Linked DNA regions of Rattus norvegicus. Each later gene encodes a partner of the first gene's protein in a complex. Links are inferred from orthologs where the notes say so. Each region holds a gene or a part of one and is shown in the gene's direction. Other genes may lie near its edges. The genes, in order: Actl7a and Tes.

What was found.
Region 2: the proteins of Actl7a (region 1) and Tes are in contact, whole or in part, in a crystal structure (PDB 2XQN), measured with the Homo sapiens proteins. The link is inferred for Rattus norvegicus from reciprocal best matches to the Homo sapiens genes ACTL7A and TES. Residues at the interface, in NP_006678.1 of Homo sapiens: Leu28, Gln29, Thr30, Ala31, Ser32, Leu33, Arg34, Asp35, Gly36, Pro37, Ala38, Lys39, Arg40, Ala41, Val42, Trp43, Val44, Arg45, His46; in NP_056456.1 of Homo sapiens: Asn311, Glu312, Tyr313, Thr314, Gln315, Ala316, Glu317, Leu323, Phe326, Leu335, Ala336, Gly337, Glu338, Ile339, Tyr340, Val341, Tyr353, Pro370, Glu371, Val372, Gln373, Arg374, Val375, Thr376, Tyr377, Ala384, Phe389, Leu398, Ile399, Gly400.

The regions. Positions count from the first base shown.
Region 1 is NC_086023.1:76,243,014-76,246,345, forward strand, and holds Actl7a (actin-like protein 7A), read left to right. Parts: upstream 1-1,158; 5' UTR 1,159-1,174; coding exon 1,175-2,497; 3' UTR 2,498-2,634; downstream 2,635-3,332. UniProt on the Homo sapiens protein: Essential for normal spermatogenesis and male fertility. Required for normal sperm head morphology, acroplaxome formation, acrosome attachment, and acrosome granule stability.
Region 2 is NC_086022.1:46,365,721-46,369,545, forward strand, and holds part of Tes (testin), read left to right. Parts: intron 1-2,837; coding exon 2,838-3,026; 3' UTR 3,027-3,825. UniProt on the Homo sapiens protein: Scaffold protein that may play a role in cell adhesion, cell spreading and in the reorganization of the actin cytoskeleton. Plays a role in the regulation of cell proliferation. May act as a tumor suppressor. Inhibits tumor cell growth.

The DNA.
Region 1 (3,332 bases):
TGTCTTCTTCTGGACATTGTCTGTACACCTGAGCCTTAATGTTCCCACTGTGGGACTGAGCGGCGTCTGATTCAGTGCACACTCTATGACTCTAATGAAGGATTGCAAGCCTATGTTCAAAAATAGTTCTTACGGTTATGTTCTCGTCACCTTAGTACCCAAAAGTGAGGCAGCAGGGCCTGTCAATTACTACAGCAACAGTAGACCCCGGTAAAAATTAACTCAGATGGTATCAACCTGTCCTAATTTCTCTAGTGCTTTCTAACCCTGCCCACCTAGAGTGAAGCCCTCACAATAGCCCACGCCTGACAGGACCTGTTTGTCCCCACCAGGCTTACTTTTCCCACCCACCCCATCTAAACTTTCACGTTCTTTCCTATGGTCACATCGGCCTTCTTGCAAATTCTCTCAGTTGGGGTCAGCAAACGTGTTCTCTCAGAGACCAGTCACATTTATTTTCATTCAGCTTTTGGGCCAGTCTTTGTGATGTTGATTCAACTGTTTGCCAGACTCCCAGGCAATCCATAAGGGACATGAGTATGGCTACTCCAATCGGTTTATACACCGCCATGGGCTGGAGCTGGCTGTGTCCTGCTTGCCCCTGCACTAACTCACCAGCCACGTGACTTAGTCCTCTGCACCTACTGCGTCCCTAACACATGTCACCTGGTCACCTTCAGCTCCCTACACAACTACTGCCAGCTCAGGGAGGCTTGCCTACACCACATCGGCTTGGCCCATCCCCTTTCTTTCTCTTCTCTGATTTTTCTCTAAAAACTTTTCTAAATTTTATTTTTTGTTCAACCAATAAATATGTTGTGCTCTCCCCGCCCCCACTCCACCCGACCCCCGTGCACACCAACTCGAATGCAGACCAGATAAGGGCAGGATTCTGTTGCTCCTCTTTTTACTGTGGTACTCCTAGGTGCTTTGCATATCACAGGCACTCAACCACTATGAACAAATCAATCTTTCCTACAAAATTGGGGAGTGGGACTTGAAAGACAGTATCTCTAATGTACCCTAGCACCACTCTCCAGGGTCTAGAAAGCCCTGGGTTGCTGAATTATGTCACAATCAGTGATGTCACTGTTGGGCAGATTCTCAAGCTGTCCTCTGATTTAAGCCTTTCAGGCCTTGTAGCCAGCAGGATCGAGAGCTTTCTGAGAGCAGTATGTCTCTGGATGCTGTGTGGGCTCCACAGACAGCAAACATCGGGGACGGGCCTGCCAAGAAAGCTAGTGACCAGACCTCCATGCAGACACAGGTCCTCCAGACTGCCTCCCTAAGAGATGGCCCAGCAAAGAGGGCAGTATGGGTCCGTCGGGACAATGCTGAGAAAGAAGAGCCTGTTAAGTCAGCTGTGTCCAAGGATAGGCCAAGGCTAGAGGTGACCAAAGCAGTGGTTGTGGACCTAGGTACTGGCTTCTGTAAATGTGGCTTTGCTGGCCTGCCAAAGCCCACTCATAAGATCTCAACAACAGTGGGCAAGCCCTACATGGAGACAGCCAAGACTGGGGATAATCGCAAAGAGACCTTTGTGGGGCGTGAGCTCTTTAACCCAGATATACATCTCAAACTGGTCAACCCCCTGCGTCATGGCATCATTGTGGACTGGGACACAGTACAGGACATCTGGGAATACCTCTTCCGACAGGAGATGAAGATCGCCCCAGAGGAACATGCGGTCCTGGTTTCAGACCCACCACTGAGTCCTCACACCAACAGAGAGAAGTACGCCGAGATGCTGTTTGAGACCTTCAACACGCCTGCAATGCACATCGCCTACCAGTCCCGCCTGTCCATGTACTCCTACGGACGCACCTCTGGCCTGGTGGTGGAGGTCGGACATGGTGTGTCCTATGTGGTCCCCATCTATGAGGGTTATCCTTTGCCCAGCATCACAGGGAGGCTAGACTACGCGGGATCTGACCTAACGAACTACCTGATGAACCTGATGAACAACTGTGGAAAACACTTCTCTGAGGACCACCTTAGTATTGTGGAAGACATCAAGACGAAATGCTGCTTTGTGGCCCTGGACCCCATTGAAGAGAAGAAAATCCCTCCCAGTGAACACGAGATCCATTATACTCTGCCTGATGGGAAAGAGATCCGTCTGGGTCAGGAGAGGTTCCTCTGCTCAGAGATGTTCTTCAAGCCATCTCTAATCAAGTCCATGCAGCTGGGCCTCCACACCCAAACCGTGTCCTGCCTTAACAAGTGTGACATTGCACTCAAACGAGACCTCATGGGGAACATCCTGCTCTGTGGGGGCAGCACTATGCTCAGGGGTTTCCCCAACCGTCTGCAGAAGGAACTGAGCAGCATGTGTCCCAACGACACCCCACAGGTAAATGTGCTGCCCGAGAGAGACACCGCAGTCTGGACTGGTGGTTCTATCCTGGCCTCGCTCCAGGGTTTTCAACCACTGTGGGTCCATCGCCTTGAATACGAGGAACATGGGCCTTTCTTCCTCTACAGAAGGTGCTTCTGAACAGGTGCAACACGTACGCTGTGGTGACCATGTGCTAGCTTTACCGTCCGAGGGCTGAACCTTTCACACGTGGTGTCAAGCTGGCATGTTCATTTCTGTAGCATTAAAAACCCCTTGTGTCTGTCCCCTTCCCTTCAGAGTGTGTCCGTATTTCCTGACATAGTAAGAGCCACATGGATGCGTGCATCGTCTTAAAAAGTGCGAAAGCCTGGGCGTGGAAGGGCTGTATGAAAGAATCACACGCACGAATGCTAACTGCTCAGAAAGTCTCTCCCAGGAGAAACTTGCTCTAACATTAGTCTGCCCGTTGTGCTTCCCACAACGTTGTTGTTAAAATATACTTAAGGAAAAATGTCATCAAAACAAATTAAGAGTAAATGATGTTGAAGGATAAAGAGGCTCTCCATCCACAGTACCCTGCGGAATGCTAAACGGGTTTATTCTCCGGCAAAAGCAGCACCGTATCTCAGCTAAGTATTCTTGCTAATTGAGGCATCAACACAGGATGTGACTTTTGTGCTTAAAAGCTCGCACTTTGGGACTACACTCAGGTCCTGAACACCCAGTTTAGTTGCCAGTTAATAAAGACTTTATGGCTTGAATCCATACCCGAGTGACCTTATATGGTGGACACATCATAATATTTCGGGAGGTCCAAGTGAGATCCCCAGAGACCAGACCTCAAGACATTGAGGGTTTCAGAGCCCCTCAGAGAAGGGTAGGGTGCAGCGGTCAAGGGACTTCTAGACAGTGCAGAACCAGAGACATCCCATGGTCCCAGGACTCCCTCTGATCAATCACTGCCCAATGGCTCAGAGAAATCTGATCCCCTAGT
Region 2 (3,825 bases), on another chromosome or scaffold:
TTGGCTCATCAGTTAAGAGAGCTTGTTGCACTTCCGGGGGGCCTGGGTTCTATTCTAAGCACCTACGTGGCAGCTCACAGTCATCCGTACCTCCATTCCTACGGGGTCTTTTGGCCTCTTCAGGCACCAGGGACACACATGTTACATGGCCATGTATGCAGGCAAAACACCCATACATGTAAATACTAAAATAAATAGATCTTTTAAAAAAAATGGTTTCACTACATGCTGCTAATCCACCCATGAGGCCCTTGACTTGCTATCTAGAGATTGCTGAGTGACTGTTTCCAAACATTTGTGGAACTGATCGAATACAGAGGAAATTGGCCTGTATATTTAGGTTGCCGTGTGGGACATTCAGGTGCTTAATGTGAGAGCATATTTTTATGACATCCATTGTGTTCCACAGAGCGCCTGCTGCTGCATGCTGGCCAAGAGATGGTAACGTAGATACACGGTGAAAAGATGACCATATATAGTCAGCTTATAAGCCTTCCTGGCTGATAATATCAGAAGGATGGGCTCCAGCGTTTTCTTAGTTTAAAGTTCCCTAAGCTATCGCATAGGGGAAACTCCTAGGAGAGGGGGAAAACAGTACCTGTGTATAGTTCTAAGAGTCCAGTACGTCTACAGAGAAATAAGCTTAGCTGTGTGCCCGTCTTCCGTCTTGACGCACTGCCTAATATTAAAACGAGCTGTCTTTATCTCACCAGTGCCGAAACAATGGGCTGCACATTATTTAATTCACTGTGTTAATCTGTGCAAAGATTTTGATATATATAAAAGAAGTGAAAGAGAAAACATGTTTAGACCCGGAGAAATGTCCTCAATCTAATCAGGGCATTTATGAGGTAAAAATCACCCGGAAGGAGGAGTGAGATGGGAAGAAACCCAGTTTGTCCCCATGTGCACACCAGACTCCCACTGGCCACCCAGGATTCGCATCTGTAAGGCTCTCAGGGTCCTCCAGCCAGAGAGCCCATGACGACACAGCATTATCTACCTCACATCCTGTGTTCAAATAAAAGAAAGCAGGAGGGATGGAAGGAACTGGCTCTTTGAGCTGTGTGAGGACTATTTCACAGGCAGTGCACTGCCAGGCACATTGCGATGAAAGGTATAGTCCCCAGGCAGGCCCTCTGTGGCATGTAGCTTTGAGCTTTGTGGATAAGCAAGGATCTGCTGGTGTTAGCTGGAGTCATATGTAAGATTCCTAGACGAATGGTGACCCACTGCAGTTGTGAAGCTAAACTGTATGGAACCATAAACCCTAAATGCAACACCATGCCATTTGTGTATCCGTGTGATTCTTTCTGACCTAAAGACTCCCCTCAATTTCACGTGCAATTGAATAACTGGTTTGTCTTCTTTCTTATACTAAAAATGAAAAGGCCATGTTTCATCTAATAATAAAATGATCCACAAATAATGTTACAAAACAGAAAGTAAAAAAGGAAAGCAAAGGGGTCCTCTGTCACACAGTTCTAAAGTGTCGGAAGACTAATACGAAGTACAGAAAACCAGAACATTCTACGTGAGCTATCGCACTACAGAAATTCCATGCAAAAGCAACCATTTGCATGATGCGGCTGCAGATTCAGGGGGAACTTAGAGCTTCCACATTGAATATTATTTGTATTCAGGACACCTATCTGCATTATGCAAAGAATGTCTGTTTCCCAGCCAGGAGGTAGTTGTTAGACCTGTAGATAGAGTCTCTACAATAAGAAGGTACGTAGCTGTAAAATATACAAAAAGTATATTTCAGGTCTGCAGTGGCTGTGTGATGCAGGTCACCTCATTGTCCAACAATGGCCGTCCCACTGCAGTAATCCCCAACCAAGAGACAAGTGGTACTTAAGGTTGATCAGTGCCACATGGTATTCCCTCAGCTGTTGTAAAACCAAGATCTTAGATGTTTCTCATTTTATTCAGGTCATATATAAACAATGCAAATGACTCTCCTGCGTTGAAGCTTTCCGTGAGGTGGTTTTCTGTTGTAATATTAATGGCTGCTTCTCGTTCTCTTCATGTGTATCATCAGTTAAGAATATTACGCGTATGTTTACCTCATTAGTATATTGGAGTATAACATACCCAGGATACTGAATGGTGGGCTAGGAATATACCACCTCCGTCAGTACTGTCCTGACACAATGTGCATGGTGTCCTGGGTTTCCTGCACAGCACTACCTAAATCACCCGGTATCACAGCCCTCGGGAGGCGGAGGGAGGAGAAGTATCACGAAGTTAGGTCCGGCCGAATACCTTCTCCCAGACAAAACAAAACAAAGGGTGCTGCAGGGAAGGGAGGTATTAAAGTTCATGGCATAGATCACAGATAAACGATGACTAAACTTAGGACAGAACAGAAGCTGATTAACTACACGTTATATTTATGGTGTGAACCCCTCATTCGTTTTCAAATACTGTCTGTACTTTTATTCAAATCCTTAATTATTTTGAGCATGACTTTAGTTTACTACTCTCTTGAAATTGGTGGGTGTTAACAGTCACCTGTGTCAGTGTCCTAGGCATGACACATCCTAGTGATGTTACCACTTCAGAGCGTTAATGAGTGCGGGAAAACAGTCTTAGAGATTCCTTCTAATTGTTTCGGTGAAATCTACTAAAATTTGACTGGAAACAAGTGCGGTGCTTTGGGATTTGCCATCATAACTTCCTATTTACACCCTGAGGGACATCTACGGACCGCACTCCCACCCTGTCCGTCACCTGCCATTTCTCGGCACACTCAGCATACAGGGCCCCGTCGGCACAGTGTCTCACAAAGATGTCGCTGTCTCTAACCCTCTTCTCCATTCATCCCCGAGCAGGTGTGTCAAGGGTGCCACAATGCCATCGACCCGGAAGTGCAGCGAGTGACGTACAATAACTTCAGCTGGCACGCGTCCACGGAGTGCTTCCTCTGCTCCTGCTGCAGCAAGTGCCTGATCGGGCAGAAGTTCATGCCTGTGGAAGGGATGGTTTTCTGTTCTGTGGAGTGTAAGAAGATGATGTCCTGAGTGAACACCAAGCAGTATTGAGCCATAGCTGTCTACAGTGGCCTGCATTTCATGATAAACTGCAGTTTAAAAAAAAAATAAAAAATAAAAGGAAAAAAAAAAGCTACATAACGAACCGGAAGATTTTGTCCAATATTTTTCTCTTTTTAACCATTATGAATTTTGTCTGTCTTATTTTTAAATGACTGCTTTAAGCGCATGATTTAAAAAAAACAGTAAAGAATTATAGCTTTTATTTCTGCACATTAAATATTTGAGTTGGAAGCTTGAATTTAATCAATCCTTATAACCGCATACTCCTAGTGCTAGATATATTATATATATATATATATATAAAATCACTTAAAATTAGTGTCCTGGGAGAGATGAACATTTTAACTTCCATGCTTGTCCCCCATGGGAAATGTAAAGGAAGTTACAACCGCCTGTCGAGCGGTTTGATGATGGTGACGTCAGCTCAGTGAGGAGTTCCTTGTGGCAGGCAGTGTGGTCCACGTTGGGTGTTCCAGTGCCTAAGCCTTTGCATCCCCCATGGAGGCAGAGGGGCCTCTCCCTCCTGCATCTCTCTCTGGTTACTTTACCTCTCAGTATCCTCTTTTGTCATCTAGCGACCTCCATCTGTGGCCTTGAATATTTTATATGTATGTGGTTAGGACAATATGTGCACTTTGCTCTTAGAGATTTTTTTTTTTTGTTTTTTTGTCCAGAAGATAAAAGTAGGCCATTCATTTAATTTTTTTGAAACCCAAAGAATATATAGGTTTTGTACCCAGGGAATTATAACTCATGCTGATGTCAC